7 linked regions of the Ovis aries genome follow. The protein of the gene in region 1 interacts with the protein of each later gene in a pairwise test. Links are inferred from orthologs where the notes say so. Each region holds a gene or a part of one and is shown in the gene's direction. Other genes may lie near its edges.

The links.
Region 2: the proteins of CCDC102B (region 1) and PSMA1 interact in binary tests that used the Homo sapiens proteins (3 or more experiments, as listed by UniProt). The two-hybrid records come from large-scale screens. The link is inferred for Ovis aries from reciprocal best matches to the Homo sapiens genes CCDC102B and PSMA1.
Region 3: the proteins of CCDC102B (region 1) and SPG21 interact in binary tests that used the Homo sapiens proteins (3 or more experiments, as listed by UniProt). The two-hybrid records come from large-scale screens. The link is inferred for Ovis aries from reciprocal best matches to the Homo sapiens genes CCDC102B and SPG21.
Region 4: the proteins of CCDC102B (region 1) and HMG20B interact in binary tests that used the Homo sapiens proteins (3 or more experiments, as listed by UniProt). The two-hybrid records come from large-scale screens. The link is inferred for Ovis aries from reciprocal best matches to the Homo sapiens genes CCDC102B and HMG20B.
Region 5: the proteins of CCDC102B (region 1) and BYSL interact in binary tests that used the Homo sapiens proteins (3 or more experiments, as listed by UniProt). The two-hybrid records come from large-scale screens. The link is inferred for Ovis aries from reciprocal best matches to the Homo sapiens genes CCDC102B and BYSL.
Region 6: the proteins of CCDC102B (region 1) and CCDC120 interact in binary tests that used the Homo sapiens proteins (3 or more experiments, as listed by UniProt). The link is inferred for Ovis aries from reciprocal best matches to the Homo sapiens genes CCDC102B and CCDC120.
Region 7: the proteins of CCDC102B (region 1) and MAGOHB interact in binary tests that used the Homo sapiens proteins (3 or more experiments, as listed by UniProt). The two-hybrid records come from large-scale screens. The link is inferred for Ovis aries from reciprocal best matches to the Homo sapiens genes CCDC102B and MAGOHB.

What each region holds. Positions count from the first base shown.
Region 1 is NC_056076.1:8,522,983-8,526,482, reverse strand, and holds part of CCDC102B (coiled-coil domain-containing protein 102B), read left to right. Parts: intron 1-2,180; coding exon 2,181-2,390; intron 2,391-3,500. UniProt on the Homo sapiens protein: During interphase, forms fibers at the proximal ends of centrioles to maintain centrosome cohesion. During mitosis, dissociates from the centrosome following phosphorylation to allow centrosome separation. Contributes to CROCC/rootletin filament formation.
Region 2 is NC_056068.1:37,962,038-37,966,328, forward strand, and holds the start of PSMA1 (proteasome subunit alpha type-1), read left to right. Parts: upstream 1-1,491; 5' UTR 1,492-1,550; coding exon 1,551-1,553; intron 1,554-3,148; coding exon 3,149-3,193; intron 3,194-3,444; coding exon 3,445-3,546; intron 3,547-3,665; coding exon 3,666-3,769; intron 3,770-4,291. UniProt on the Homo sapiens protein: Component of the 20S core proteasome complex involved in the proteolytic degradation of most intracellular proteins. This complex plays numerous essential roles within the cell by associating with different regulatory particles.
Region 3 is NC_056060.1:11,901,684-11,905,658, reverse strand, and holds the start of SPG21 (maspardin), read left to right. Parts: upstream 1-1,175; 5' UTR 1,176-1,290; intron 1,291-3,975. UniProt on the Homo sapiens protein: May play a role as a negative regulatory factor in CD4-dependent T-cell activation.
Region 4 is NC_056058.1:18,147,695-18,151,938, reverse strand, and holds the start of HMG20B (SWI/SNF-related matrix-associated actin-dependent regulator of chromatin subfamily E member 1-related), read left to right. Parts: upstream 1-1,444; 5' UTR 1,445-1,496; exon of another isoform or gene 1,497-1,776; 5' UTR 1,777-1,794; coding exon 1,795-1,832; exon of another isoform or gene 1,833-2,310; coding exon 2,311-2,419; exon of another isoform or gene 2,420-2,890; coding exon 2,891-3,112; exon of another isoform or gene 3,113-3,281; intron 3,282-3,993; coding exon 3,994-4,114; intron 4,115-4,244. UniProt on the Homo sapiens protein: Required for correct progression through G2 phase of the cell cycle and entry into mitosis. Required for RCOR1/CoREST mediated repression of neuronal specific gene promoters.
Region 5 is NC_056073.1:15,721,004-15,725,285, forward strand, and holds the start of BYSL (bystin), read left to right. Parts: upstream 1-1,482; 5' UTR 1,483-1,641; intron 1,642-1,824; 5' UTR 1,825-1,828; coding exon 1,829-2,096; intron 2,097-4,282. Other genes in the region: MED20 (mediator of RNA polymerase II transcription subunit 20), read right to left, coding at 1,273-1,286. UniProt on the Homo sapiens protein: Required for processing of 20S pre-rRNA precursor and biogenesis of 40S ribosomal subunits. May be required for trophinin-dependent regulation of cell adhesion during implantation of human embryos.
Region 6 is NC_056080.1:56,043,400-56,047,459, reverse strand, and holds the start of CCDC120 (coiled-coil domain-containing protein 120), read left to right. Parts: upstream 1-1,260; 5' UTR 1,261-1,294; coding exon 1,295-1,348; exon of another isoform or gene 1,349-1,361; intron 1,362-1,475; coding exon 1,476-1,566; intron 1,567-1,706; coding exon 1,707-1,840; intron 1,841-2,497; coding exon 2,498-2,638; intron 2,639-3,237; coding exon 3,238-3,535; intron 3,536-4,020; coding exon 4,021-4,060. UniProt on the Homo sapiens protein: Centriolar protein required for centriole subdistal appendage assembly and microtubule anchoring in interphase cells. Together with CCDC68, cooperate with subdistal appendage components ODF2, NIN and CEP170 for hierarchical subdistal appendage assembly.
Region 7 is NC_056056.1:204,663,485-204,667,412, forward strand, and holds the start of MAGOHB (protein mago nashi homolog 2), read left to right. Parts: upstream 1-1,128; 5' UTR 1,129-1,187; coding exon 1,188-1,281; exon of another isoform or gene 1,282-1,366; intron 1,367-3,928. UniProt on the Homo sapiens protein: Required for pre-mRNA splicing as component of the spliceosome. Plays a redundant role with MAGOH in the exon junction complex and in the nonsense-mediated decay (NMD) pathway.

The sequences.
Region 1 (3,500 bases):
TCCTAAGCTCCTAATATGTCATGATTGGGCTCTTGGCTCTTAGAATATTCAAATCCATCTCCTACTTCCTTTTATTGAGATACTTCTAGCTTGATTCTCCTTCTCTGGCTGTTCAGATAGTAAAGAATCTGCCTACAATGCAGGAGACCCAGGTTCAGTCCCTGGGCTGGGAAGATCCCCTGGAGAAGGGAATGGTTACCTACTCCAGTATTCTTGTCTGGAGAATTCCATGGACAGAGGAGCCTGGTGGGCTACAGTCCATGGGGTTGTAAAGAGTCAGACATAAGTAAGAGACTAACACTTTCACTATTAACATTCATAGTGTATTACAGTTAGAATTAAAATGTTTTAGAATTTTTCTGTTGATCATTGGAAGTGAATCAATAGAATTCCATTTCAAATTGATCAGTTGTTAGAACTGCTTACAAAATACTCTGAAAGCTTAAAGTAATACCTGATATTTCTTTCATTCCTTTTAACTCCACGTTTAATTGAATGGCTTTTAAGGTAGTAGATTTTGTATGATTCTTAGAAAAGAATAATCTGACAAGAAAGAATCATTAAAGATGAAATTAAAATAGCTAATAAAATTTATGATCCAGTTTTCACAAACCCATACTTTTTTGATGTTTATTATATGCCTAAATTTATCAGATAATTGGTATGTCAATAAAAACCTTCAAATAGTAAATAATAACACATCATTATTTAAGTTTTGTTGTTATTGCTGTTAATATAATTCCTTCAACTTTTTAAAGTTAGATTTTTTTCATTCAAGCCATCTATTATTTATTTAAAATTCTATTTCTACTTGTTATCTGTTATTAGGTATAAATTCAAATTTAGCGATGTCTTTTAAATGCCTAAAGTTTTACAAAGACTTGACATAACATCCTATTTGTCCTTGACCAAGAATACATTTATTCTCATAAAATTAATTTTTCATCACAAAGTTGATGATTTTTTATTACAACTTTATTATTTTCATTCTGATAAGTGATGTGATGCTAGTCAAAAAGCTTAAGCATTAATCTTAATAATTAAAGTCATGTCATGTTCTAAATTGGATTGTGAAATACTGTTTTCACCTCATATCCCAAACAGGCACCCCAAATGTCAAATCACGTCATCTAAAATTTGATCCCTTAGTTTATTATGTTTAATTGATAGAGAAGATCTAGTGCCAAGAGTGTAATTTTAGTTTCCTGTTTTTTCAGAAACCAGAGCCTCGCTTAGATTTGGGAACAGAACATTTTCTACAATAATGGCTCAATTATGTGTGTATGAAAAAGCAGTTTTTAGACTTTTTAATCAAAATTAATTTCCAAAGATATTATTGAAGTCTAACATTTTCTTAATGTTGATTTCTCTTAGAAAATTTAAAGTCATGGAAACTACTTTATAATAGTGCAGTACTAGTCAACACTTTGCCATCAAGCCATTTAAAACTAACAATGTTAAAACAAGTAATTTTCAACCTTGGTCCATAACACATAGTTTTAAAATACCTCTGATTTTAATCATGTTGCCAACCTCCATTCCCTGAAAATCAAATAGGCCATTCATTCAGGTGAGTTTGTCTATATTGTACAGTACTTTAACCATGGCGTTTATGATATTTTATTACATTCACCATCTGTACAATGACTAGCATAGTGCCTGGAAGTTGAAAGGTATAGTAAATAAGTGAATGAGTGAAAGAATATATGAGCTATATCCATCCAACCAAAATTTCCCAAGAAATGATTTTGTTCCTTCTCAACTGATAAATTCTCATCAGCTGAGTGGAGCTTGATGGCAAAATATCATCAATGTCTCACTTAATATTTTTAATTGAAAAATATGGTCTGTTTGGTTCTAGAAATAGTCCCATGAACCAAGAGAAAGGGTAAATTTACCTAGCACATGATCTGGTCTTAGGGCTTATGTGTTGTTTTCAACTTTTCAGACAAATAGAGTTCTCTTTTTAAAAATTGTGTAGAGACTTCCCTGGTGGTTCAGTGGTTAAAACACCACATACTTTCACTGCAGGGGGCACAGGTTCAATCCCTGGTCGAGGAACTAACTTCCTGCCTGCCTTGGATGTGGCCAAAAAATAGAAAAATTAATGTGTAAATGGACATATTCACTTTGGCAATTGCAAATGCTACATATTGCTTTTCTGTGTTTTCTGTCTTTAGCTAGAGAGATTGCAGGCTGAAAATACATCTGAATGGGACAAGAGGGAGCTACTTGAAAAGGAAAAACAAGGACTGGAGAGAGAAAATAGAAGGTTAAAGGTCCAGGTGAAAGAAATGGAAGAACTCCTGCACAGGAGAAATAGATTAAGTGAAAACTCGGAAGGTCCTGATTTCAAGACATCAGGAGTCGAGCCACAGGAAAAAAACAAGGTATGGGAACTCTTTGGAAGCAAATGTCTTCACTTCCTTTGTGTTTCTGCCTTGAGGACTGGTGGGTACCGTCCTAACTTTCACAACTTGAAGCCTGAATACACTTTTTTGTACTGTCTCATATCTGATAGTTTGATCTTTTCCCATGGTAATATAAAATGTATCTAAAATGTTGTTCATGCATAGGAAAAGAGAATGTGACAAATTTTGTGTGAACATGTTAGAGTATGACATATCTGAGAGTTTCAAGCTTTTCCAAAAGGAAGAAAAGCAAGAAGTCAGTAAAGGACCTCTGTGTTTGGTTTCCTGTCGTAGTTTCATCTCAGTTATCCAAGCAGTGGATCTTATTTTTCAGTGAGTATTTTTCTCCATCAGTTTGGGCAACTATACAATTAGGATTTGTTGGTGTAAGGTAAATACCCACATAAACATTTAAACGTACCTGGTGTACTCCTCTCTTATTTCTTTTTAGTCTCAGAAAAATTATTTTTAAGTCAATTAAACACATCATGTTACAAATAACCTTTATAGGCTATGACATAAATGTTAAAACCTGAATTACAGTCAAATTTTGACTTTGGGAAAGTTAGCTTGCTTTGGAATTTTGTCCTAAAGCCAATAGACATATTTACTGCTATGGATGTAATTTTTTTGATACATGGCTTTTAAATTTTTAAAACACTCTCGGTGGCAGTTGTAATGTGTATGTGTTGGTGTCAATATATTGCAAAACACATAACAGCTTGTTCCTGTTTCTCCCATGAAAGTAGCTATGGGACCTTAATGCATCATTCTATCTCTTTCATTCAGTTCCTTTAACAATGAGTTAAAAATGAGTTTGAAACGTTCCTATTTTTTGAGTCATGTAAGTAGTTCATATTCATATCAGCTGTAAAAGCAAAATGGGCAGAAAAAATTGAATTCCATATTACTTGTGTTTATTCTTTGTGATTTTAGGGATTTATTGCAAATATAAGATTAAATTGGATTAGTGTTTCATGACTTGGTGATGCAAATATCTAAAGTTAAATGTTATAGTCAGTGATCATAATTTTCTATTGTACAGATTCATAAACTGTCAGTAATGGTATATGCTTCTGACATGTATAC
Region 2 (4,291 bases), on another chromosome or scaffold:
GCAATATTGGTGAATTTAAGAAAGGGATCACTCATAGACAAGGGTTGAGAATACATTTTGGTAAAACATTTCTCCAGAGCAATTTAGTACTTTTTATAAAAGCCTTAGAAATATCCATTTCATTTGACCCTACAATTCCATTTTCAGGAATTTATTCTAAAAAAAGGAGTGCAGATGTGTATACAAAAGATATGTCATAAATAAGCTGCCTGGGAGAGGGGTAACCTAAATATTAAAGACTAGGAATTTGGGTAAATAAAATATCCAGTGCATAATACTAGGGAGTCATGTTTAACCTAGAAAATGTTTAACATGAAGAAATGTCCAAAATATATGAGACAAGGTTTAAAAAAAGAGTCTGATACTAAATTGCTGGGAACTTGAGCAAATCACTTAAGTGAGCTGAGTCTCTTCTTCACCTGCAAAGCTTAGATACTTAAGGACCCTCTCAACTCTTCCGTTATATGACTCTAGGTATCCATCCTTTCTTTTTTATAAAGAAAATACCATCCTTTGTGGTTCAGTTGGTAAAGAATCCGCCTGCAATGCAGGAGACCTGGTTTCGATCCCTGGGTTGAAACGATCCCCTGGAGAAGGGAAAGGCTACCCACTCCAGTATTCTGGCCTAGAGAATCCCATGGACTGTATAGTTCATGGGGTCGCAAAGAGTAGAACACGACTGAGCGACTTCACTTCACTTCATCGTTGGCAGTCGGTAAATGTTAGGTTGGCAGCTGATTGCACAACTGTCCTAAACTATTTCATTCGAGGATTTACTAAAAATTGCTCACAAAAGAGAAAATATGTGTCTTGGAAGAAAATGTCTACCTTTTTCCTTAGTTGCCTAATCTTTCAGCATCGTGCTTGGTTTTGAAGGTACAGAAAGACACTGGCGCCCTCAGAGAGCAAAGTCTCTTGGGGTAAAACCAATAATAATGTTAAAAAGACTGATGATAACAAATCCTTGAAAGATGAGTTCTCCAAGGAGTAGGAGAAAGGATTCCAAAGTAGAAAGAAAAGCATGTTCACAGACAAGATAGAGAGAGAGGATGGTTGGCACAAAAACGGACCATTATTTGTGGCCTTTCTTTCAGTATCGTTCTTCTCATATTACCCAACACCTCATATATCGTTTAAGGGGAGACTGAGCCACACACTCGATCACCTGTAGTCTCTGGTGCATCCGGTCAGGCCGGTGAGAAACTGACAGGAGTCAGCAACACGGAGGTAACTTCACCAAGAACCCAAGAAGGGGTACTTGGTAGCGGCAGCCCAGCAGCTCCTAGTTCCCGCGGGCACTCCTGGCCAAGGTTTCCAGCCAATCTCAGTTCCTCTAGCTTCCCAGGCCCCTCCCACTTCTGAGCCGCCTGAGAGCTTTGAGGGCGGGGAAGCAAGGGAAGCCTATCGATATCTCTGGAATAAACTATTCTACCCTGCGCCGCCGCCGTCAAAGTCCGCAGTCTTCTCTGTAGATCGCCGAGCGGAAGTTTCGGCAGTGCTGTTCCATCCGCTGGTTTGCAGGAGGCCGAAGCCAGGCTCGCGCCGGAACCATGGTGCGTTGGATTCCGAGATTAGGCAGGGTTGGGGAAGAGGTCCGCTGGCTGGGGGGTAGGGGGAGCTTCTTCTCATGCCTTCCTTAGAGCGGCCCGGGGCCATGGGACTTAGGAACCGTTGCCGACGGGATGGTTCAGGCGGTGATTCAGCATCTCCGGCCTGGCCGGGAGAGTGGAGGTCGGTAGTCTGTGCTGCCGCTGCGACCTTTCCCTGGGGTTTGTTTCGCTTTCCACGGGGTCTTGAACAGTATCTTCTCGGTCTACCAGCCGATTTCGCTCCTCAGATTCCTTCAGTCGAGTAAATTCCGAGCGGTCCAGAGAGGGCCCTAGTGCTCTGTGTGGCAGAAAGGAAAAATAGGGACTTAACTTCAGACCTCCTTGTACTGCCAAGTGCGGACTTGATTCCAGGGTTTGGGTTGCTGCCTGGACCGCGTTCATTTTCTTGGCGGGTCCCTCTGCAGTCTTTTTCTTAGAGCTCTGTCAGAAAAAGCCCTTTTCAATCACTTTGTCTGCTGTTGCTGCTGCTAAGTCGGTTCAGTCGTGTCCGACTCTGTGCGACCCCATAGACGGCAGCCCACCAGGCTCCCCCGTCCCTGGGATTCTCCAGGCAAGAACACTGGAGTGGGTTGCCATTTCCTTCTCCAATGCATGAAAGTGAAAAGTGAAAGTGAAGTCGCTCAGTCGTATCGACTCTTAGCGACCCCATGGACCGCAGCCTGCCAGGCTCCTCCGTCCATGGGATTTTCCAGGCAAGAGTACTGGAGTGGGGTGCCATTGCCTTCTCCGACAAATGAGTGAACCGAAGCTGATATTAGTGATGAAATCAGGGTTATAGTATAGAGCTCAGGGATTCCAGGCCAGTGCCTGCCATTCCAGCGCTCAACCTTCTCACCCCCATGATTAGTCTCCCAAGCACTGTGCTGGTGGACTTAATACCGTCTTTAAAGCTGTAATGGGTCTGTTTTTATGGCAGTTTGTGTCCACTTATGACTTCCTGGGGACATTCTTGTGTTCTCATTCAGTATGAATGAATGAAAGGCACGTTCAATATGAATGTTTTAAGGGCAGTGAAGGTTCAAGGATAAATCAGACATATCCCAAATCGTAGTATGAGGCAGAAAAGTAAGTGTAGATAAAGAACTGGTGGGAATATGTTTTGAGATTTGGGGAGAAAAGATGGAGAAGATTTCAAGAGATAGACATTTGAGCTGACTTAAGAAAAGGTAGTAATGTTTTTGACCATTTATTAGGGTCTGAAAAAAGGGAAGAATATTAGCAAAGATAGAAAGGAAAGTGGACATATAGGAACTTTAGTAATTGACTAAACCCAAACCAAGTACTATGAACAGTGTTAGAACTGCTAGACTGATTGGGAAGCTATGTACCATTTAGATCCGCCCCCCCCCATCTCCTTATAAATGTAAAATTGACTTGCAGCTGATTACAGTAGTAATCTTCCAATGAGACTGCAATAGCAGCTTTTCCTTAATGCTGGATGGAGAGAGATGGGAGAACATTTTTTAATGATAGAGCTTGTGAAGATTTTGAATTTGTAATGTTCTTGTGTTAATAGGTCTTTTTTCATTTACTTTCAGTTTCGCAACCAGTATGACAATGATGTCACTGTTTGGAGCCCTCAGGTAAACTTTTGGTTACTGCAATGTGTTTAGAAGCTTATGGGATTGTAGGAAGTGAGAAAATGGAATATAATCATTTTATACGTTCCTGAAACCTAAGTTTATCATTAAAGTCAGTCTTCTAGTTTTAAGAAACAGCATTTGAGATGTAACTATGCCCACTTGAGATTTGGGATTGCTAAATTATGTTAAATATATAAAAGGGTCTTGTAATGACTAAGGTGTGTTGGGTTTTTTTTTTTTTTTCATTTTAGGGCAGAATTCATCAAATTGAATATGCAATGGAAGCTGTCAAACAAGGTTCAGCCACAGTTGGTCTGAAATCAAAAACTCATGCAGTGTTGGTTGCATTGAAGGTAAGTAAAGCAATAAATATATCTTCCTCCTTTAGAAAACACTGTAAAATGTTAGTTTCACTATATAAATAATAAAATTATAAACTTACTCTTTTGTCTTAAATGATGTTTCTATTTAGAGAGCACAGTCAGAACTTGCGGCTCATCAGAAAAAAATTCTCCATGTTGATAACCATATTGGTATCTCAATTGCGGGACTTACTGCTGATGCTCGACTGTTATGGTGAGTATGACCTGGAAAACAAAAGAAATATCCCTTTTGATTCATAATTGATTACATATCTAGAAACAATCCGGATATTTTAGGAAGTTGTCTGCTAGAGTGTTTATAAGTTAAGATTATTAATACCTTAATGTATTTGGGCTCAGTTACTAAGTATTCCATTTCTTGATCACTGTAGCAGTAATTAATAGGATTAACCACATTAACATTAATGCTTTTTAGAAGTCATTGAATAATGTATTACTTGTTAACTCAGTATATATAGTTTGATGTTAGATCTGGGAAGAGCTTGACACCAGGTTTCTGAAGGATCAGCTGAACCACCTTTGCTGTCTTTAATATACCAGTATTCATTTGACATTTATTTTTTGCAAAGCTCAATACTGGATACAAAGAGTATACAAAGGTGAATCAGACAGATCTCATCTTCTAGGAGCTTAAAATCTAGTAGAATATCTGCAATACAAGGTAGAAAGTGGAGAGCAACAGGTATATTTCTTTGGAGGGGGTGGGGGATAAAGA
Region 3 (3,975 bases), on another chromosome or scaffold:
AGTTATTGATATTTCTCCTGGCAATCTTGATTCCAGCTTGTGCTTCATCCAGCCTGGCATTTCACATGATGTACTCTGTATGTAAGTTAAATAAGCAGGGTGACAATATACAGCTTTTTATATTGACAATATACTCCTTTCCCGATTTGGAACCAATCTGTTGTTCCATGTTCAGTTCTAACTGTTGCTTCTTGACCTGCATACAGATTTCTCAGGAAATCTGTAGGTAAGATTTCTTCAGGTAAGGTGGTCTAGCGTTCCCATCTTTTTAAGAATTTTCCAGTTTGTTGTGATCCACATAGTCAAAGGCTTTGGCATAGTCAATAAATCAGAAGTAGATATTTTTGTGGAACTCTCTCGCTTTTTCCATGTCCCAGCAGATGTTGGCAATTTGATCTCTGGTTCCTCTGCCTTTTCTAAATCTAGCTTAAACATCTGGAATTTCACTGTTTACGTACTGTTGAACCGTGTTAATAATGTTAATAAATATATGAACATTCTCTATTCCTTTAAGGGAAAGTGATGAAGGAGCTGGCGAGTCAGCGGGAGCTGTTCCTGGAAATTCCCAAGACCTCAGCACAAGCCTGGAAAGGGAGGTGAAGGTGTTACAGTGGAGGATTATGGGGGGCATCTGTGGCCGTGCCAAAGGAAAAAAAATCTTGTCAAGAAAAGAGAGTATACAGAGCCCTGTTAATCAAAGCCTGTAACCTAAAGGAGTTCCCTCAAAGTTTTACGCCGCGAACTGCAGTCGAGGCAGGTCCCAAGGGTCAGGAGCCCCTTTCTTCCAGTCCCACAACCTTTCCCTTGGTGCTCACGTCACATGAGTGACCTAGAACTGACCCTTGAGTCTCTCTGGGCCTCCTCCCGGCGCCCCCGCCCCCGCCAGAGCAGATGCCAACTCTGCAGCCGGCAGGATGTAGGGAGATCATCGAAGTCTCAACCCGTGGTCCAACCCGCCCCGTCGCCATGGTGACCGCCGGAGTCACGCAGCTCCACCCCTTCCTCGCGACGTGGCCCCACCCCTCCGAACCCGGAAGCTCGCGGCTCGCGCTAGCTGCGAGAACAATTCCGGAGGAGGGAGGGCGGCGGTCCAGTCTCGCTCTGCCGCGCGCCCCGCCCCTCGGAGGCCGGCCCTCCAGCGCGCCCCCACGGCTCGCGGCGCTTACAGATACTGAGCGCTCAGGCCTCCAGCCCCAACCCGGGCCCCAGCAGCCTCCGAGGCCGGCCCCCTTTCTGGAGGGAAGAGCCGCCTTGGGAGGAGGGACAGGGACCTGGGGGCGGCCACAGCAGGTGAGGGGTGGGAGGGGTCCTGGGAAGCCTGGGATCTGGGTGTATGATGTGTTTGTGGCAGCAGGTGAGAGTGGTTTGTAGCGAGCACGGCTGCCTCTGTCTGTGTGACTTTGTGTGTGTGGCCCTGAGTGGGTCGGCTCATGTGACCATGCACGTGATTGCACGTCCCTGTGTGTGTCTAAGGTCGTGTCTGAGTTCATGGGGGTGATTGGTGTGCCTGTGACCCTGCCTTTGTGTGGCTGTCACCCGTGGGGCTGGAAGAAGGTGGAGATCTGTGTGTGGTTCGCCTGGGGTAGGGGGGTCGGGTACTTGACCTGGACATACTCCTGTAATCCCATACTGGGGCTACACTGCTACAGCCCAGGAACGCATTTTTCCTGTAAACTTTGAAGAACTCTGAGCAGACTAGTTATTTTGGAGATTGCACCTCAAGCCTGAAAGTGATAAATGCCTTTGTCATTGCTGAGCACGGGCCAAGTGTGAGGAAAGTGGCAGGGCTAAGCTGTCTCCTTTCCTCTTGTCATCGGGAGTCCTAAATTCTGCATTTATGCTGCTGCTTTGTCTCCACCTACAATGTTCCAGCTCTTCTTGGCAGAGAGCTTCAAGAGACTGAGGGGTAACTGAATAGCTGTGTGCAAATTTCCAAAAGCTTTAGTACTAAGACAGGGTACAAGATGAGATGTGACCGTCAAAATGTCAAGTAGTCAGCTTTTCCTCCCATGAGGTTTAGAAGATAATAGAATAAGTTTCTGAAGATAAGGATAAATCTTCCCCCCAGGAAACCTAAAAAAAGAATAGCTCTGTATTGGTGTGGTGAGGTAAGGAGACTTGCATTAAAGAGCCAATGGCATCATCCAGAGACCCTTAGGTTCTAATATTTCGCTATTGCTTGTATCAGTAAGAATCATAGATTGTCCGTATGTAGAGCATATGATTGAGGAAAAGGATCAGAAAATCTCTGACTAGTTGAACTGGTTAGATGACTTAAACATTTGTAAAGGCGATTTCATTGGCTGTGAATTGGCAGGGTCTGTTGAAATCCTGAGGGATAAGTGGACTGTAAAGTGGCTGGTTCTGGTGAAACCTTGATGGAGAAGTGCATGGAATTCTTGGTGCACACTCAAAACTGGCAGTTTTATCCTGGAGCAGCACAAGGGCCAGAGAGGACTGTGTGTCTAGTGCTGTCTCTGAGAAGGGGGTTTCCTTAAGCAAGATGAAGGGAAAATTCCTGCCACCCATTTCCCAGCAGCATGAACAGGTGCTTTTGTTTTTGTGAAGAATTGTGAGAGATCAAATCAGCGTTGAGCTTCTGGTCCACATTCTTTCTTATTTAATACGGATCAGTTGGATCACAGTCTCAGTGAACCTTTTTTTTTTTTTTGCCATATGCAGAATGTTCCCCTTGTGACTTGGAAAAGTATTCCCTTGTAGTGGATGAAAGAGAGCTAGGAGAACAAAATTCCTTTTCATACCACTCACAGCTGCTTTCCCTTTGCAGCAGTGTTTTTTCCCTCTTAAATGTCAGTTGGTCATATGCAACATTTGGTATCTGTCTTACCTTTCATGGACTGCCAAACTAGCACAAGTGTTCAAATCACTTGCTTCTATAAAAATCTAGTCACCGTTCGGTGGAATCTCTCTAACCAGTGAGATTGGTTATGAAATAAATGTTATGATATTGAGTGGTTGTGGATAATACTGAAGACTGTGGTAAGGAACCTCTTTCTACTTACTCCTGAGGGAAGAAGTGAATGACAGTGAGTGTGTATATCTGTGTACAGTGTGTGTGTGTATATTTGTAGGATAGTTTGGTTTGTGTGTTACAACTGATTCCAAACTATGAATCATTTATTTTATCCCAAGTTTGGTGAATCTAGAAGCAAAATTTCTGACTCTAGTTAGCCAAAGTGTTTTGAGTAGGTGTTTTGTTCTGATCTGTTGAGTAGGGATTTTTTTCTAAACATGTTTTTGATATTTCCTCCTGTAGAATAGTGATTGTTTATAGTAATTGTATACTAGAAAATGTCTTGATTAGGCAATAGTTAGATGACATAGGAATAGTTCAAGTCTGTCCAGATAGAAAACTTTCCAGAATTAACTATATGTGCCAGTTGCTTTCAGTTAAAAGCAGTGACCAGCTTAGAGAAAGGCTATAGTTCAAATGGCTTCAGTTTTTTAACATGTTAATATTTGTTAAGAGAAATGGGTATGCAAAGAATGATTTTCTTTATTTCAGTATGAGTAAGAACTACATCCATGCACATTGATTGTCTGTATAATACTGGCTGATGATTTTCTTCATATTTTAGAACCACTGAAGATTTCAATAAACTTTTCTCAGAACCATCCCAGCCTTGAAAGAAAAGGCCAATTATTACAGTGTCAAGGTTGTAAACCTAGTTTAATATTGGATGTCTACATTTACCATCTCCTTGGGGGTCAGTTTAGTAACCCCCAAGGCTAGAGGTAACAGTTGAGATTGCTGAGTGCCCTGTGTTTTGAGGGAGCAGATGTGGAGGGCCAAAGAGGAAGATTCATTGGCTTAAGAATCCCTGGCACCTGACCAGCCCAGAAAAGCCCCTCTAAGTTCTCAGTTCACAGTCAAGCCTAAGACTTAAGTAGGGGGTCTCAAACTCATCCTAGCCCTGCTAGAAAAACCCAGGCTTGTGCTGCAGTAGAGGACAT
Region 4 (4,244 bases), on another chromosome or scaffold:
AGAGTTGGACAAGACTGAAGTGACTTAGCAGTAGCAGACTGTAGCTTGCCAGGCGCTTCTCTCTACTGGAGTGGGTTGCCATTTCCTTCTCCAGGGAATCTTCCTGACCCAGGGATTGAACCTGGGTCTCCTGTATTGCAAGCCCATTCTTTAACTCCTGGGTACATCGCATGGTAACTCTATGTTTTGGTTTTTTAACCTTTTGAAGAACTGCCAGACTGCATTCCAAAGCTGCTGCACCTGCCTGTTAGAAATTTACGTTATACATTTATTTGTTTATTTAATATATATGCATTGACAGCACCTGTGGGCACTATTCTGGGTGCTGGCAATATAGCAATGAGCAAACTGGCAGCTTATAAGGAGGAAATGAACACAAAAAAAGATAAGATGGGGTGTATGGGGTGGGGTACAAGCCTGGGAATGTCTCACTGGAAAGGGGTACATTTAATCTGGGGAAAGGGCATTAAGGGCAAGTGCAAGGGCCCAGAGGTGGGAATGAATGAAATGGACATATCTAAGGAACGTTGAGGTCGCCAGAGTAAGTGAGGAGGAAAATGCAGGGAGGCGAGAGCGGAAAAGTGCTGTGGGTAGGTTGTTTGGGGTCTAACGGGTCATCATGAGCATCCAGTGACCACAATTATCCTGGGGTAGTAGGAAACACAGTCCAGGCTGTAAGAGGACCAGGCTACTGTCTGGGGTTCCCCAAGATCCCAGAGCAGGGTCTCCTGGCCCTCCATCTTCACGAGGTCCTCGCAGCTTTCTTGTCCCCACCGCATTCTTCCTAGTTGCTTCCAGCCCAGCTCCTGGTCTCAGCTTCGCCTCATCCGGCCTTCTGGACATGGACCCTGTGCAACGCTTCCATTGCATAGGAGAGAAAGCTGAGGCCCTTTCACAGCAGGCCCTTTCACATGCAGGGCGGGGCACGGCCCCGTTGGGGGCTTTAAGTCCAGTCAATAAACGGGAAACTTCTCCACCCGGTCTGCTAAGAACAGGTCCCACTGTGCAGTGGGGAAAGGGACTGCTCCAAAAGACCTTAACCCCTTCCCTAGCAACCTACTACCGTCCCCATGACAACTAGGGCGGGGCCGAACTCCGGATCCTGCAGGGGCGGGGAGTCTCGCCTTCAGCAGGGGAGGAGGAGTCTGAGCTGCGCCTGCTGGCCCTTTAAGAGGCTCCACCCGGCGAAATCTGAAAACATCCTGATTGGTCCCGAGAGCGGCCGAGCACAGCCGAACTTGACGCGCCCGCCTGCAGCTTTCCCTACTTAACCTCCCACGCGGCTCAGTGGCTACCGCAGCCAATCACCAACGGGCGCGCCGACCTTCATCTGCATGGTCACGCCCCAAGGGAGGGGTATACCCAATCCGATCGCTCGCCGAGTCGTTATTAGCATGTCGGGGGCGGTGCAGGGCGGAGCGGGCGGCAGGGGCGGGCTCCCGGCGGTTGGTTGGAGCGTCGTAGCAGCCGAGAGGTCCGGGAAAGTTTCTTTGGAGGTGAAAACAGCCGCGGAACTCGGGGCCCTGCGAGGAGGCGGGGGCGCGGGGATCCCAGGGCCGGGGCGGGGACCCTCCTGGGCCGGGAGGGTGCGGACCCAGGCCTCCTGGGGGGCGATCGCCCAACAAAGGATCCCTGGGGCGCCCGCCCCCGAGGGCCTCCCCGCCCCCGGTTCCGGCCCCCCCAGGCGCCCCGGACCTGGCATTACAGGGCTTCCCAGCTCAGCCCCGCCATCGCTGGCTTGGGCGACCCTCACTTGGCCACGCGTCTACGTTCCAGGTGCTGCCGGGAGTGGCCATGTCCCACGGCCCCAAGCAGCCCGGCGCGGCCTCCGCGTGAGTGCGACATCCCCTCCCCCTCAGCTCACTCGGGGCTGCAGCCACCCCGTCCCGTTGGAGCTTCTCGACCCCCGCGCCCAGGGTCTTGACTCCTCTGACTTGGAACAGGAGCCCCCCACTTGGGGGTTCCCACGGGCTTCCCCTAAACCTCCGTGCTCCAGTCCTTTTCAGGAGTGGCCTGCTGGCCTCCTCTAGTTCTCCTGCCCTAACCCCGGATCCTGACCTCCTCAGACCCCTGCTCTCAGAACTCAGGCCGCTAGCTGCCAGCTCTTTAGTCGTGGGGGAAGGGGTGGGTGACCCTGGCGTCCCGTAGCTCTAGTCTCTCCGAGGTCCCTTGTTGCTCCCCTAGTGCTCCAGTCTCAACCTCCGTATCCTGACCCTCTCAGAGCCCTCTTCTGAGGACTCAGGCCCCTTGCTGCCAAATCCGTCGTCGAGGGTGGGGAGTGGGAGTGACCCTGGCTTCCCGTGGCTCCAGGCCGGCGAGCGCCAAGGCTCCAGGACAGCATGGGGGCTTCGTGGTGGCTGTCAAGCAAGAGCGCGGCGAGGGCCCGCGGGCCGGAGAGAAGGGGTCCCACGAAGAGGAGGTGAGAGTCCCTGCACTGCCGTGGCGGTAGCCCTTACCCTTGAAGCTCCGCCCAGAGCTAAATTTGAATTTGCTGTGGCTCCGCCCACAGTCCAGATTTCCCTGCCCAAGCTGAGGCCCGCCCCATGCCAGATACCACGCCCCCAAGAGCTCCACTGCCAGTCTAGGCCCCGCCCGCTACCTGGGGACTCTGCTAGTAAGGCACGCCCATACAGGGGACACGCCCACAACACAAGCCTACCCCATCCTTGGGTTAATGCTCTGTCTCCAGTACCTCTCTGATCCCTTTACCCATGGCCAGGGTAAACCTTAACCCCACTCTTAACCCCACTCTCCCAATTCTGAACCCTGACCAGGCCATACTTCCATACCTTCTGGGTCCCACCTCGTGGTTAGGCCCTACCCAAGTCTTCCAGGGCCCCGCCCCTTCCCCTCTGTGCCCAGCCCCAGCCCTCCAGACCCCTCCCAACAGCGCGACTGGGTTCGGCAGCCGGTGAAGAAGCGCGGCTGGCCCAAGGGCAAGAAGCGGAAGAAGATCCTGCCAAATGGGCCCAAGGCACCTGTTACCGGCTACGTGCGTTTCCTGAACGAGCGGCGCGAGCAGATCCGGACGCGCCACCCGGACCTGCCCTTTCCCGAGATCACCAAGATGCTGGGCGCCGAGTGGAGCAAGCTGCAGCCGGCGGAGAAACAGGTGGGGACGGCCTGGGACCACTGACTGACCTGCCCTCACTCACTCAGACATCCATCCTCCATCACTTACCCTCAAGGAACAGGTGTGGCAGGCCCTTCGTTCTGCCGGAAGGACTGACCACCCGTTAGCTCTCTCCAGCTTGTTGAAGGGAGGGGAGGGTGGCAGTTGGCTGGAATAGACATAAAAGTTAATAAACACCGTTATAAAAGAAGTCAGGGGTGGATGCTGGATTTTTGTTAGAGACCTTACAGTTTTAAAGTTCTGGTAATTAATTTAAAATTTGCAAAAACATCAAGGAAATGTAACAAAATCACCAGCAGCTTGCACCCTCTACATGGGATTTCAACAGGCAAAATGGGTTTCGGAGGGCAGGTCAGCCCAGAGGTGGGAGCCTGCAGACAGTCAGACACCAGGGAGTGGTTTAGAAAGGCTGGAATTGGGGTGAGGTAGTGAGGTCCGGGATTCTCCAGGCAAGAACACTGCAATGGGTTGCCATTTCCTTCTCCAATTCAGGAAAGTGAAAAGTGAAAGTGAAGATGCTCAGTTGTGTCTGACTCTTAGCAACCCCATGGACTTCAGCCTACCAGGCTCCTCCATCCATGGGATTTTCCAGGCAAGAGTACTGGAGTGGGGTGCCATTGGGAGCCTGGTGGGCTGCTGTCTATGGGGTCGCACAGAGTCGGACACGACTTAAGCGACTTAGCAGCAGCAGCAGTGAGGTCCGGGTGTTGGCAGGTGGCCTGAGCGGCAGAGTGAAGGGCCAAGTTTTGTCTGGAGGGCAGCAGGGAGCTGTGGTAAAGTGTAGCACAGCGGGCTGAGTGATGGAGCCTGCGAGGCCTCCCCTGCCACTGGGCTGAGCCTTCTCTCCCTGCCCCCACCAGCGGTACTTGGACGAGGCTGAACGGGAGAAGCAGCAGTATATGAAGGAGCTGAGGGCCTACCAGCAGTCAGAAGCCTACAAGATGTGTGCAGAGAAGATCCAGGAAAAGAAGATCAAGAAAGGTGCAAAGGGCCTCAGCCCCCAGGCAGCTGAGTTTTACCCTGAGACAGGTGACCCAAGCCGATGCCCCCCCACCCCACCCCCTCCCAAAGGGTCTCTCACGGTCACGTGGGAACAAGGCACATGTAACCA
Region 5 (4,282 bases), on another chromosome or scaffold:
AAAAAGTACTAACAAGTAATGATGATGATGTGCCTCATTTTGAAATATAAGAGAATCCCTAAGGTGATGCTACTGGGGTCAGAAGTCCTAGAAGCCTGAAAAAGTTGCGAAGCATCCCAAGAGAGAGCCCTTTCCCTGCTTGCCTTCTGCCCTGAGAGAACAGGTACTTCCAGGGTTTCACGCCTCTTTGCAGCATGCTTTTTTTTTTTTTTGGTTGCGCCACAAGGCATACAGGATCTAATTCCCCAATCAGGGATTGAACCCATGCCCCTTGAAGTAGAAGGTGCCTCCTGCAGTGGAAGCGTGGAATGTTAACCACTGGACTGTCATGAAAGACCCTAGCAAACTTTTCATTCCCATTCTTCGCACCCTTCTTACACTACAGGACTTTGAAGGAGGCTCATGATGCCAGCTTCAGGAAGCAAATGTGCAGTCACTGACAAATCTGCAAGACCTGGGCTACCAGGAATTCCCACAGGCTCTTACATGAGAAGCCTAGAGCCATTGCCTTCAGATAACCTGGCCTCTAAGCCCTCTCTGGGAGAGATGCTCAAGATATATATATTTTAAAGCTCTGAAATCTAGCATTTTGGAACTAAATGACTCGAAGAGAATTAAGCCCATACCTTTCCCTGCCACACTGACTTATAACGTGTTAAAATAAGTCCATAAAAACTAAACCAACCAGGTAATTAAACAGAATAGGAAACAGACCCTGAAGAGGTGATGTGCCTGTAATTCCTATCTCCTAATTCCCAACAGCTCCTTTTTTCCCTCCAGACTCAAGATCTTACAAAGGCCAAACTAGAACCAGACACATGCTGATCTAACTGCATTTAGTGGCTGTAAGGAGGGGCAGGCAAAAACCTAAAAAAGATACTATCTCCTTGTTGCCTATCCCCTACCCATCCAAGCCCTGCCTGCAGACGGGTCCGAGTCCCGACATACTACTTTCAACCCTAAAGTTCTACCCCAGGCTTCACGGTCAAGAAATTGTATCAAGAAAAAAGGAAGGAGGTACACGATCATTAACGGGTTCTTAAACCCTTTTTCCTGCCGCCTTCCAGGAAGAAGGGGCGAATCTCCGAGGAAAGGGGCCTGCAGATTCTGCAGCCCTCGCGGTGGCCCCCTCACTTACACAATCCGAGGACATTTTGCTCATCTTCCGGGGGACTGTGGACCCTGGTCGGGATCCTCCTCCCGGGTATATTCGAGGCTCCAGGGGCCTTCAAGTCCCCAAACCCCGCCCCACAAAGTCCTCTGAAGTCCTACCAAGTCACTCCCATGGTGTCGTGCCAGGAAGATGGGAGGATCAAACAAGTGAAATGCGCTGTGCTCCAGCAGCCCACAAGAGGAGAAACCACCTCGCTAAAGCGAGCTCCAATGGAGGCAGGCGCTCCGGAACTTACGTAAAAACACAGCGTCCAGTCGACACGCCCACGAGGAAGGGCGTGTCTGGGTCCTTCGGTGAGGTCACTGCCCGACTCCGCCCCGCCCCCGATCCCCTGGTTCGCCGGTCAGGGAATTCCCATTCGCCTGGGCACCCTGGACCCAGATCCATGAAACTAGGAAAGTGTATCTCGGACTACAACCACTTAGAGAAGACAACGTTAAATTCGGGAGGACCCAGCTCCAGGACCCGTGAGCTCTTTTTGGGGGGGGGGGGGGGTGGGACGGGGCTTCTGGCACACCCGGCCTCCAGACGCGAGGGGGCGCTGTGAGCTCCGGTGGGCTCTCGGGCGCTGGGTGTTTACCGCGCAAGCGCACTCGGGGCCTTTTTTTCCTCCATACCCACGTGGGAAACTTCACGGCTTGGTTTTCTAGAAAAATGCCCAAGTTCAAGGCGGCCCGCTCGGCCGGGGGTCAGGAGAAGCATGCGCCGCTGGCCGAGCAGATCCTGGCTGGTGACGCGGTGCGGGCAGGAGCCCGAGAAAAACGGCGGGGTCGCGGAACCGGAGACGAGGAGGAAGAGTACGTGGGGCCCCGGCTGACCCGACGGATTTTGCAGCAAGCGCGGCAGCAGCAAGAGGAGCTCGAGGCCGAGCATGGGAGCGGGGACAGGCCCGCGGTGCCGCGGGAGCGCACCACGCGGCTGGGTGAGTGGGGGGGATGGGGTACGAGGAGGAGGGTGGGTAGCTGGGGCGGACGGCTGAAAGGTGTCTGGCAGGGGAATAACTTGGAATTAAAAAACAACAACAACAAAAAACTGAGGCCCTTGGCAAAGGTAATGGGGTTGGGAGACCCAGCTCTGGGGCAGATTGAGGGTTGCCGGAGCCCTCCACGCCCATTCCTTAGAGTGGCACTCTTATAGGCATCACCGAGGTTAGGCCAGCAGGAAGTGGTTACTCACGCCGCTAAGTTCTCCTGGCATTTATTTACGTGTTTTGTAAGTAATCATGGAATGTCTACTACGCACATCCCGCCGTGCTAGGAGTTTAGATGGTTTAGATAAAAAACTGTAAACAGGGTAAAGGTATACCTAACGTCAGGATCTTCCAGTGTAGCCCGAGAGAAAGAATTAAGTAAGCAATTAGAATAATGCACTCGTGATAAAGTATAGCTTCTCTGACAATAGCATTAGTCTTGGGAGTCAGGTTTCCCAGGTTGCATGACCGTTGTGCTGAGAACTGAAAAGTAGGGAGTGCTCTGAGCACAAAGAACAATATTGTTTCAGGACTAGAAAGGGAGCGAGATTATTTAAAAGATGGTCATTTTTCTCGTTATTACTCTGAGAGTGTTGACCTCCAAGTTGCTTAATCCATTTCTCAACACTCATCTTTCATTTGTCTGTGAGCAGCATTCACAAACGGAGAAGGCAATGACAGCCCACTCCAGTACTCTTGCCTGGAAAATCCCATGGACGGAGGAGCCTGGTGGGCTGCAGTCCATGGGGTCTCTAAGAGTCGGACACGGCTGAGCGACTTCACTTTCACTTTTCACTTTCATGCATTGGACAAGCAAATGGCAACCCAGTCCAGTGTTTTTGCCTGGAGAATCCCAGGGGTGGGGGAGCCTGGTGGGCTGCCGTCTGTGGGGTCGCACAGAGTCAGACACGACTGAAGCGACTTAGCAGCAGCAGCGTTCACAAACACTAGCCTCCTTGCTACAGTATCTTTACTCCGCTTCTAAGACATCACATCCCTGTTTTGCTAGTTTTTCACCTCAGTGGGCTTCCCAGGTGGTGGAACCCACCTGCCAATGCAAGAGATGTTGGTTCAATCCCTGAGCCAGGAAGATCCCCTGGAGAAGGAAATGGCAACCCACTCCAGTATTCTTACCTGGAGAATCCCATGGACAGGGGAGCCTGACAGGCTATAGTCAGGAAAAGTCCACAGGGTCACAAAGAGTCAGACACGACTGAGTACACGCACACACCTCTCAGTATCCTTTGCTGGCTCCTATTCTCCCGCTTCCGACGCCTGCTGGTGGGATCTCAGTTCCCCTACCAGGGGTTGAACCCTGAGCCCCAGCAGTGAAAGCCCAGAATCCTTACACTAGGCCACCAGGGAGCTCCCTTTGCTGACTTCTCGTTTGTTGCCAGCCTCTTCCTGTAGTGCCACAGCATTACATCCTTGGAGCTAGTCTCTTCACCTCTGATGACTTCCCTGGTGCTGTCATCAGGGTTGAGGTTTAAATACTGTCTGTTTGGTAACTGCTTCCAAGTTCATATTCCAGCCTCGATCTCTTCCATGAAACCCAAAGTCTTATATTTCAGCTCTCTCTTTAGCTTCTCCAATTTGAAGTCTAAGAAACATCTCAGATTTAGCATGTCCAGAACAGAAATCCTGACCATCTTGCCAAACCTGCTCCACTCCCAGTCTGCTTCATCTCAATTAATGACATGATGTCCTTCCATTTGCTCCAGGCAGAAAACTCTAGACTTGTCTCTTTCTCGCTCCATATCCAATCAATTAGGAAGTCCTGTTGACTCTGCCTTAAAAATATATCCAGAATCAGATCAGTTGGCACCATCTTGGAACACCATCCTGTTCAAACCACAGTGATCTCTCACCTGGGTGACTGCAGTAGCCTCTTACCGAGAATCCCGTATCTGCCACAGTCTACTCTCCACTCAGCAACTCAGGATTGCCTGATCTACAGAGACCTATATGATCTGTACCTGTTGTCAGTCTGACCTCTCCTGCTCCTTTCCCTTTGCCCTCTTCTCTCCATCCGGGTCAAACCAGCTAGTTCTAAAAGAGATCAGTCCTGAATATTCACTGGAAGGACTGGTGCTGAAGCTGAAGCTCCAGTACTTTGGCCACCTGATGCGAAGAGCTGA
Region 6 (4,060 bases), on another chromosome or scaffold:
GGGGTGCAAAATAGCTTTAGGGACTGACCCCGCCCCTGATTTTGAGGATTAGGAACCCCTGCTTTGTTGAAGGGGCATAGACCCCAAGAGGTGGGTGAGAGGCCTGCTGAGAAACTGCTGGCACCCTATTAGCAGCTTGGCCATGTACTCCAAGATACACATACAGAAGGGGCTTGAACCCACCCCACCAAGGGTGCCTGGGTCTTCTCCACACCTGGCCACCACGTAACAACAAGCTGGGGATTGCGGAGGCAGGTAGAGATGGAACCTCTATAGCCTCAGGAGGTCCCCCCAGTCGCCTGCTGCCGAGGTCAGACCAGGTGGTGGGAGGTGATGTCACCTAGCTACCCAGCTGGGGACTGAGCAGGCTGTGGGAGGGAGGGAGCAAACTCCAAAGGAAGGGATGAGGACAGGGCTGGCAACCAGCCAAGGCCAGCTCCATGGTCAACCAGGATGTCTGGGGCCGAGAAGGAGGCAGTCGCTTGTTATCTGCAGCTGTGGACTTTGCCACTCCCAGTCCTGGCAGGGTGACTTCCCTATGCCTCTGTGGGACAGGCTGGCATGCTGGGTGGGGCTGGATGGGTCCTGAGGCCAAGTGAACGCTTTTGCTGCTGCACCAGGGCCACAGGACGGAGTTGGGACAAGGAGTTTGCAGTCATTCTTTTATTCACCCAGCAGACACTCCCTTGAGCACTTGCTGTGTGCCCGGAAGTATTCTGAATGCCAGAGTTACTGATAACATTTTCTGTTCTCATAAAGGTACAAGGGAGGCATAGTCTTGACATAGTGTGGGGCCCACCTCTGGAAATCACACTGAAGCCCCAGAATATAAGAGAGAACCAGGGGCTGGAGTGGCCGGAGGGGGAAGTGCACTCCAGACAGCAGCCGCAGCCTGCGCAAAGGCCTGGAACCCTGATGGGCTGAGAGGTTATGAGGGATTCGTGAGGTTCAGCACCTCTGGGGAGGGAGAGTGTTGGACCAGAGGGTGGGCCTGGCTACATCCTTAGCTGTAGGCAGATTATTTAATCTCTTTGTGTCTTACTCGTATGTCTAAAACGGAGGTAATAATGGTCACGGAAACTGCCATCGCAGGGTGGTTGTGAGGATTAAATGTGACATATAAGGTAACTGTTCCAGGCACCCAGATGGTTAATAAAGCCCCACTGTTGTTCTAGTTGGTTGCATCTGTACTGTTAATTCTCCTTTCCCAGGCAAGACTCCTGACGGTGGCCCATGGGCCTCTGAGGAGGTGTTGTAAGTCCGCCCAGCTCCCCACTTGCTGTGCTCCCACTCAATGGGAAGGGAACCAAGGTACCCGGGCCTTGACATTGGCACAGATTCTGAGAGGGCAGGCCAAGCAGGTGGGTGGGGTCAGGGTCCTCCTTATTCCAGCTGGGGCACGGGCACCTGGGTAGGGGTGGAGGGTGGGGGCGCATGCTGGATGATCCCCAGTGGCTCCCCTGCATCACTGCTAGGCCTTGTCCAGCCATCAGTCACGGCATCCTGACAGCTTCAGGATGGAAGTCAAAGGTCAGCTGATCAGCTCTCCCACCTTCAACGCCTCAGGTCGGTGTCTGGTTCCCCCTCTTGCTGCCTCCTCCCCTGCTCTGAGTTACCACTCGCCTGTGTGGGAAGGAGTGGGCCCTGGCCCCACAGCTGCTCCAAGATGCACCCCACCCCCTGATCTTCACTCCTTCTGTGTCCAGCTGCCCTGTTTGGAGAGGCTGCCCCCCAGATGAAGTCAGAACGTCTACGGAGTCTACTCGACCGGCAGCGGGCCCTGCAGGAGGCCCTGAGCCTGAAACTTCAGGAGCTGAGGAAAGTGTGTCTCCAGGAGGCGGTGAGGGCCTGAACCTAAGGGCGTCTGTGGTGGGAGAAGGGAGGCGAGGAGCAGGGACGAGGTAGGCAGACTGAGGCACTTGTCTGAGCTGGAGATTCCCCAAAGCTCAGCTTGGATGTCTTCGAATATGGTAATATTTTACCACAATCCCTTATCAACAATTTGAAATCCAAAAAAGAAGAAGAAGAAAAGCCTCAAAGACAAAAGAAGTTATTTCCCAAACGTGGCAGTAAAACCTGACCAGAAGTGACATGGGCTGATTTATAGTTTCGATTCACCTCTCTCGCTGCAAATGTCCACACAGTTTGCCCGAAACGGTAATGCGGTTCAGAGCATGCAGCCCAGGCCCTGAAGGGAGTGTCATATAATATGTAGTATACAGACGGTGTCACCTTTATAAAAACTGTGAGATTCTGGATTCCAAAGCAGGCTTCCCTGCCTCCCATGCCCACCGGCCCTGGGCTTTGGGCCACGGAGGGGCTGAGAGTGTGCCACACACCCACCTGGTGGAGAATTAGGAAGAGGAAGAGAAATAACAGGTGTGGGCGCTGAGCAGGGCTGGGCTGCTAGTGGGACTTCTGTACCTTCGTGTCATGACTGCTTTGCCCCATCCCCCCAACTAACCCTTGGTAGTCTTCAATCCCTGACCCCACCCAGGAGCTGACTGGCCAGTTGCCTCCCGAGTGCCCACTGGAGCCTGGTGAACGACCCCAGTTGGTCCGCCGGCGTCCCCCTGCAGCCCGCGCCTACCCTCCACCGCACCCCAACCCAGCACACCACTCCATGTGCCCCACCGAGGTGAGCTAATGGGCACGCCGAGCAAGGCAGGGGTGGGACAGGATCCCAGAGGAAGCTGAGAGGGTCTTATGGCCAGGGCATAAGGAGAGACTAAGGCTTCCCTGGTGGCTCAGAATCCACCTGCAATATGGGAGACCTGGTTTCCATCCCTGGGTGGGGAAGATCCCCTGGAGAAGGGAACAGCTACCCACTCCAGTATTCTTGCCTGGAGAATCTCATGGACAGAGGAGCCTGCTGGGCTATAGTCCATAGGGTCACAAAGAGTGGGACACAACTGAGCACCTTTCACTTTCACTCTCAAGGTGGGGAGGGAAGGAGCCTAAGGGAGGTGGCTTCCAGGTCTGAGAGAAGATACTGGTCCCTAACTGTCAGGATAAGCCTTTCCCCCTGCCCCAGGAAGATGAGCAGGTGCAGCTCTAATGCACACAAACCCTGCCCCCAGAGGAACAGTAGGTGCCCCCAGAGGAACAGTAGGTGCCCCCAGGAGGGGCAGGCCCCGCCCCCAGCCTATCCAGACTCTGACACCGCCTGGTCCTGGTGCCTGGCATTTCCATTTCCAACATCTGGTCCCGTCGCACCCTCTCGGGTGGGCCCCGCAGGAGCTGGCGCTTGAGGCCCTGGAGCGAGAGGTGTCTGTGCAACAGCAGATCGCCGCAGCTGCCCGCCGCCTGGCCTTGGCCCCCGAGCTCAGTGCTGAGCAGCGCCGGCGCCGGCGCCAAGTCCAGGCAGATGCCCTTCGGAGGTTGCACGAGCTGGAGGAGCAGCTTGGGGAGGTCCGGGCCCGCCTTGGCCTCTCGGGGGTCCCGCCATCCCAGCCCCTGCCCCTGTCCACCGGAGGAGCCGTTATCACCGCCCAGGGAGTCTGCCTGGGCACGCGCCTCGCTCAGCTCAGCCATGGTGAGCTCAGGCCCTGTTATCCCACCGACGAGAGCGGGAAGGTGGGCACTGGCTAAGGGGCCTGGCAGGGGTGGAGCTGATGAGCAGCCAGTGAAGATTGGGGGAGGTAGGCAGGACTTAGGGGACCCTAGCTGTGAGAGGAATTGTAGGCTGCTCCCAGGAAAGGGTGGGGACATTGGGAATAGGCCTCAGGCAAGTGAGGGACAGGGCCTTCCCTGGCGGTCCAGTGGTCAAGGCTCTGCACTTCCACTGCAGGGGGCACAGGTTTGATCTCTGACATAAAAACTAAGATCCCTCATGCCACTCAGTGCAGCCCAACAACAACAACAAAAAAAGTGAGGGACTCAGCCCCTGATGGTCTTGGATTTAGGTAAAGGTGGATTCTTGGGAAGTGTGCCAGGTGGGGAGGAGACGGTCCAGTGGTGTAAGGGGGTGGCACCCAGGCCTTGCATTGATAAGCGTGGGTCTCTGCTTTTCACCTGTAGAGGATGTGGTTCTGCACTCAGAGAGCAGCTCCCTCTCAGA
Region 7 (3,928 bases), on another chromosome or scaffold:
ATGTTCGTTTTCTAGACGACAAGCACAAAGGATTTTTTTATTACCAGTGCCCAACCATTTCTGGCACATACGAAATGCCCATTATAACTCATATGTTGTTTCATAAATTTTAAATCTTATTTCACATACATTATCTTATCTGGTCCTTTCAACAGTTTTTTGAGCTTGACAAAGTTGATTTTAGTCTACTCATTTGGTTGACCAATAAAACGGCTTAAAGATAGGGTCTTAAAGGAAGTTAGGTAGAGATAAGTAATGGGCATAAATCCCTGTCTTCTGACTGCCACTCTCTTTATCAAATCCCACTGAAGGTTAAAGGGTATCCAACAAGCAGGATTATTCTGTGTGTCGATAAAAGAAAGGTAATCAATATAACCGAAGAGGAAAAAACAAACAAACAAACAAACAGGCTTTGTGTAAAGCTCAGCTTGCCTTTCCTCATCCTTCAAAACCCACTCCAGATGAGAGCTATATTTCCCCAGTATAACTCTAGAGCGTAAGAAATGGGCGCTAAACCACTTGACCTGTGATCAAATTGCCGAAACTCCAGTAACTGGATGTTTTATTATTGATAGAAATTTTTTTCGTATCATGACTGTCAAGAGATTTTGCTTCAATGTGCTCTTCAAATTTTCAGACAGCCTGTCGTGATGGATTCTTTCTACTTTGTCTCGTCTGGCTTCTAGATGCCAGAAAGCGAGCCATCATTGTCCAAAGGGGAGAGGCCTGTGTTAGAAGTCTAGCAAGAGAAATGGCTGTACTGCAGGTCTGCATTCTGATTCTGGGCTTTTACCTTGACTCATGCCACTAACCTGGGGGATAAGGCCACACCCACCTCACGGGATGCCGTGAGACCCCAAAAGTCAGAGCGACTTTTAATTTAGAACTTAGAGCAACTCCGAACTAATTCGGAGGTCATAACAAATGCTTTCATATTTTATCACTTGTGCTTTCCCAATATAATATGATCTAACTAATTTTGAAAATAATATGACCTTAGTAAAGCAGAGTTCATGCCTTTGCAACCCTGCCCCACCGCACCCTATCTCCCACCCGCTTTTCTCTCGGGCCGAGGGAGGCTGAAGGGGCGCGCCCGCTGTGACGTGTAATCCTTGGGCGACTGACGTCACTGCCAGGCGCCGGGAGTCACGTCGGCCGGTCCTTCGGCGGGCTTTTCGGGGACAAAGATGGCTATGGCCAGCGATTTCTACCTGCGCTACTACGTAGGGCACAAGGGCAAATTTGGACACGAGTTTCTGGAGTTTGAGTTTCGGCCGGACGGTGAGCGGAAGAGAGGCGACTGCCGCACCTGGGAGTGATGATGAGCAGGGGAGAAGCGAGGCGGAGAGGCCGCGAAGGAGGCAGGGTGGGTGGGTGAGCTTGCTCGGGCTCGCGAGTGTACAGTTGGGTCCAGGAGCTTAAAAATGTAGGAAGCTTACATTGGTTTGAGGGAATAAAAGAGAATTAGTCGGTGTCAATTATTTCAGAAAAGCCTATGCTACCTTTGATCCTAAAGTTCAAGCTATAGTAATCAGAATTCTAGAATCAGTTCACCGGAAGGGACCTTAACGGCCTTCTAGTTAATTAACCTAATACTTGGACATTTTTTGACATCCCCACCAAGCGGTGGATCCATGGACACTTAAAATCTTCCTTTAAATAGTAAATTTCAGACGGCCCATTCATCCTGAATTAATTTACTCGTTCAGGCACTGTATGGAAGGCAGAAAAGCAAAATGCTCTGGAGGTGGGAAGCCCAACGTGTAGAAAAACGAGTGTAATGATGTCTTTCGGGTGCTTAAATACAGTTGTTCGCTATTGGATGCATTAAGACTATTAAAAGGGGGCGCGGTTAGTTCTTCATGAAAGAGTCGGAAATCTTTTTTGAGAAGGCGACCATTGAGATGAGTATTGGAATGAGAAGACGTATTTTCTTGGTCTCTGGGAGAAAAGGCGTCAGACTCCTGAGCGCTCTAAGAGCGGGGAAGGGGGCCCGGGGTGAGGTGAAACTGCCAGTTGCCCAAGAAATATGCAGCAAATTCTATATTTTGACAACTAATTCTCTTTAGATAGTTGTACTGTATATTGAACTGTTATTGTAACAACAGTAGTCCAACTGCATAGACTGTTTTTTTGAATGCATATTATGTGCTGGGCAACACGTAAAAACAAAAATTGAGGGTACAGCAGTGCATAAGACATTTTCATTCCCTTCAAGGAGTTATATTTTGGTGGATGACATAAACATAAAACTAAGTGTAAAGCGGTATGCATATTAGGCGCTGTGTTCATGCTTTGGACAAAGTTCTGGGAGGGCATGAAAGAAAAATTAGGGGAGGTTCACATACTAGCAAAAGGGAAGAATATCAGATACATCAGGTAGAAGTCAGGGTAACTACATTCTGCAATTATTTAGGAACCTTAATCCCTAATCTTCCTGGTTCCCCTCAGGTTGTTTCTAAATTTAGCTCAGGAGCCAAATTTACTTGAATTCTCTTTATCTTTTCTTTCTTTGGACTTCCCTGGTGGCTCAGATGGTAAAGCATCTGCCTACAATGTGGGAGACCTGGGTTCAATCCCTGGGTTTATACTGTCTTCAGGGTCTTGGCATGTGACCAGCTTTTAGCTGGTCAATTTTAGCCAGTCACATGGATGAAACAGTCTTTTCTTAATCTTCAGTTCAGTTCAGTCACTCCAACTCTTGGCGACCCCATGGAATGCAGCAGATCAGGCTTCCCTGTCCATCACCAACTCCTGGAAGCTAAGTTCAAACTCATGTCCATCGAGACAGTGATGCCATCCAACCATCTCATCCTCTGTTGCTCCCTTCTCCTGCCTTCAGTCTTTCCCAGCATCAGTCTCTTCCAATGAATATTCAGGACTGATTTCCTTAAGGATGGACTGGTTGAATCTCCTTGCAGTCCAAGGGACTCTCAAGAGTCTTCTCCCAACACCATAATTCAAAAGCATAAATTCTTCCACACTCAACTTACTTTATAGTGCAACTCTCACATCCATACCTGACTACTGGAAAAACGATAGCTTTGACTAGAGGAATCTTTGTCAGCAAAGTAATGTCTCTGCTTTTTAATGTGCTCTCTAGGTTGGTCAGGACTTTTCTTCCAAGGAGTAAGCGTCTTTTAATTTCATGGCTGCAATCACCATCTGCAGTGATTTTGGAGCCCAGAAAAATAAGTCAGCCACTGTTTCCGCTGTTTCCCCATCTATTTGCCATGAAGTGATGGGACCAGGTGCCATGATCTTAGTTTTTGAATGTTGAATTTTAAGCCAACTTTTTCACTCCTCTTTCATCAAAAGGCTCTTTAGTTCTTTGCTTTTCTGCCCTAAGGGTGCCGTCATCTGAATATCTAAGGTTATTGATATTTCTTCGGCAATCTTGATTCCAGTTTGTGCTTTATCCAGCCTGGCATTTCGCATGATGTACTTTACATAGAAGTTAAATAAGCAGGGTGATGATATACAGCCTTGACATACTCCTTTCCCAACTTGGAACCAGTCTGTTGTTCCATGTCTGGTTTTAACTATTGCTTCTTGACCTGCATACAGATTTCTCAGAAGGCAGGTAAGGTGGTCTGGTATTCCCATCTTTTGAGGAATTTTCTACAGTTTATTGTGATCCACACCATCAAAGGCTTTGGTGTAGTCAATAAAACTGAAGTATATGTTTATGTACTGTTGAAGCCTGGCTTAGAGAATTTTGAGCATTACTTTGCTAACATGTGAGATGATTGCAATTGTGCAGTAGTTTGAACATTTTTTGGCATTGCCTTTCCTTGGGATTGGAATGAAAGCTGACCTTTTCCAGTCCTGTGGCCACTGCTGAGTTTTCCCAATTTGCTGGCATATTGAGTGCAGCACTTTCACAGCATCATCTTTTAGAATTTGAAGTAGCTCAGCCGGAATTCCA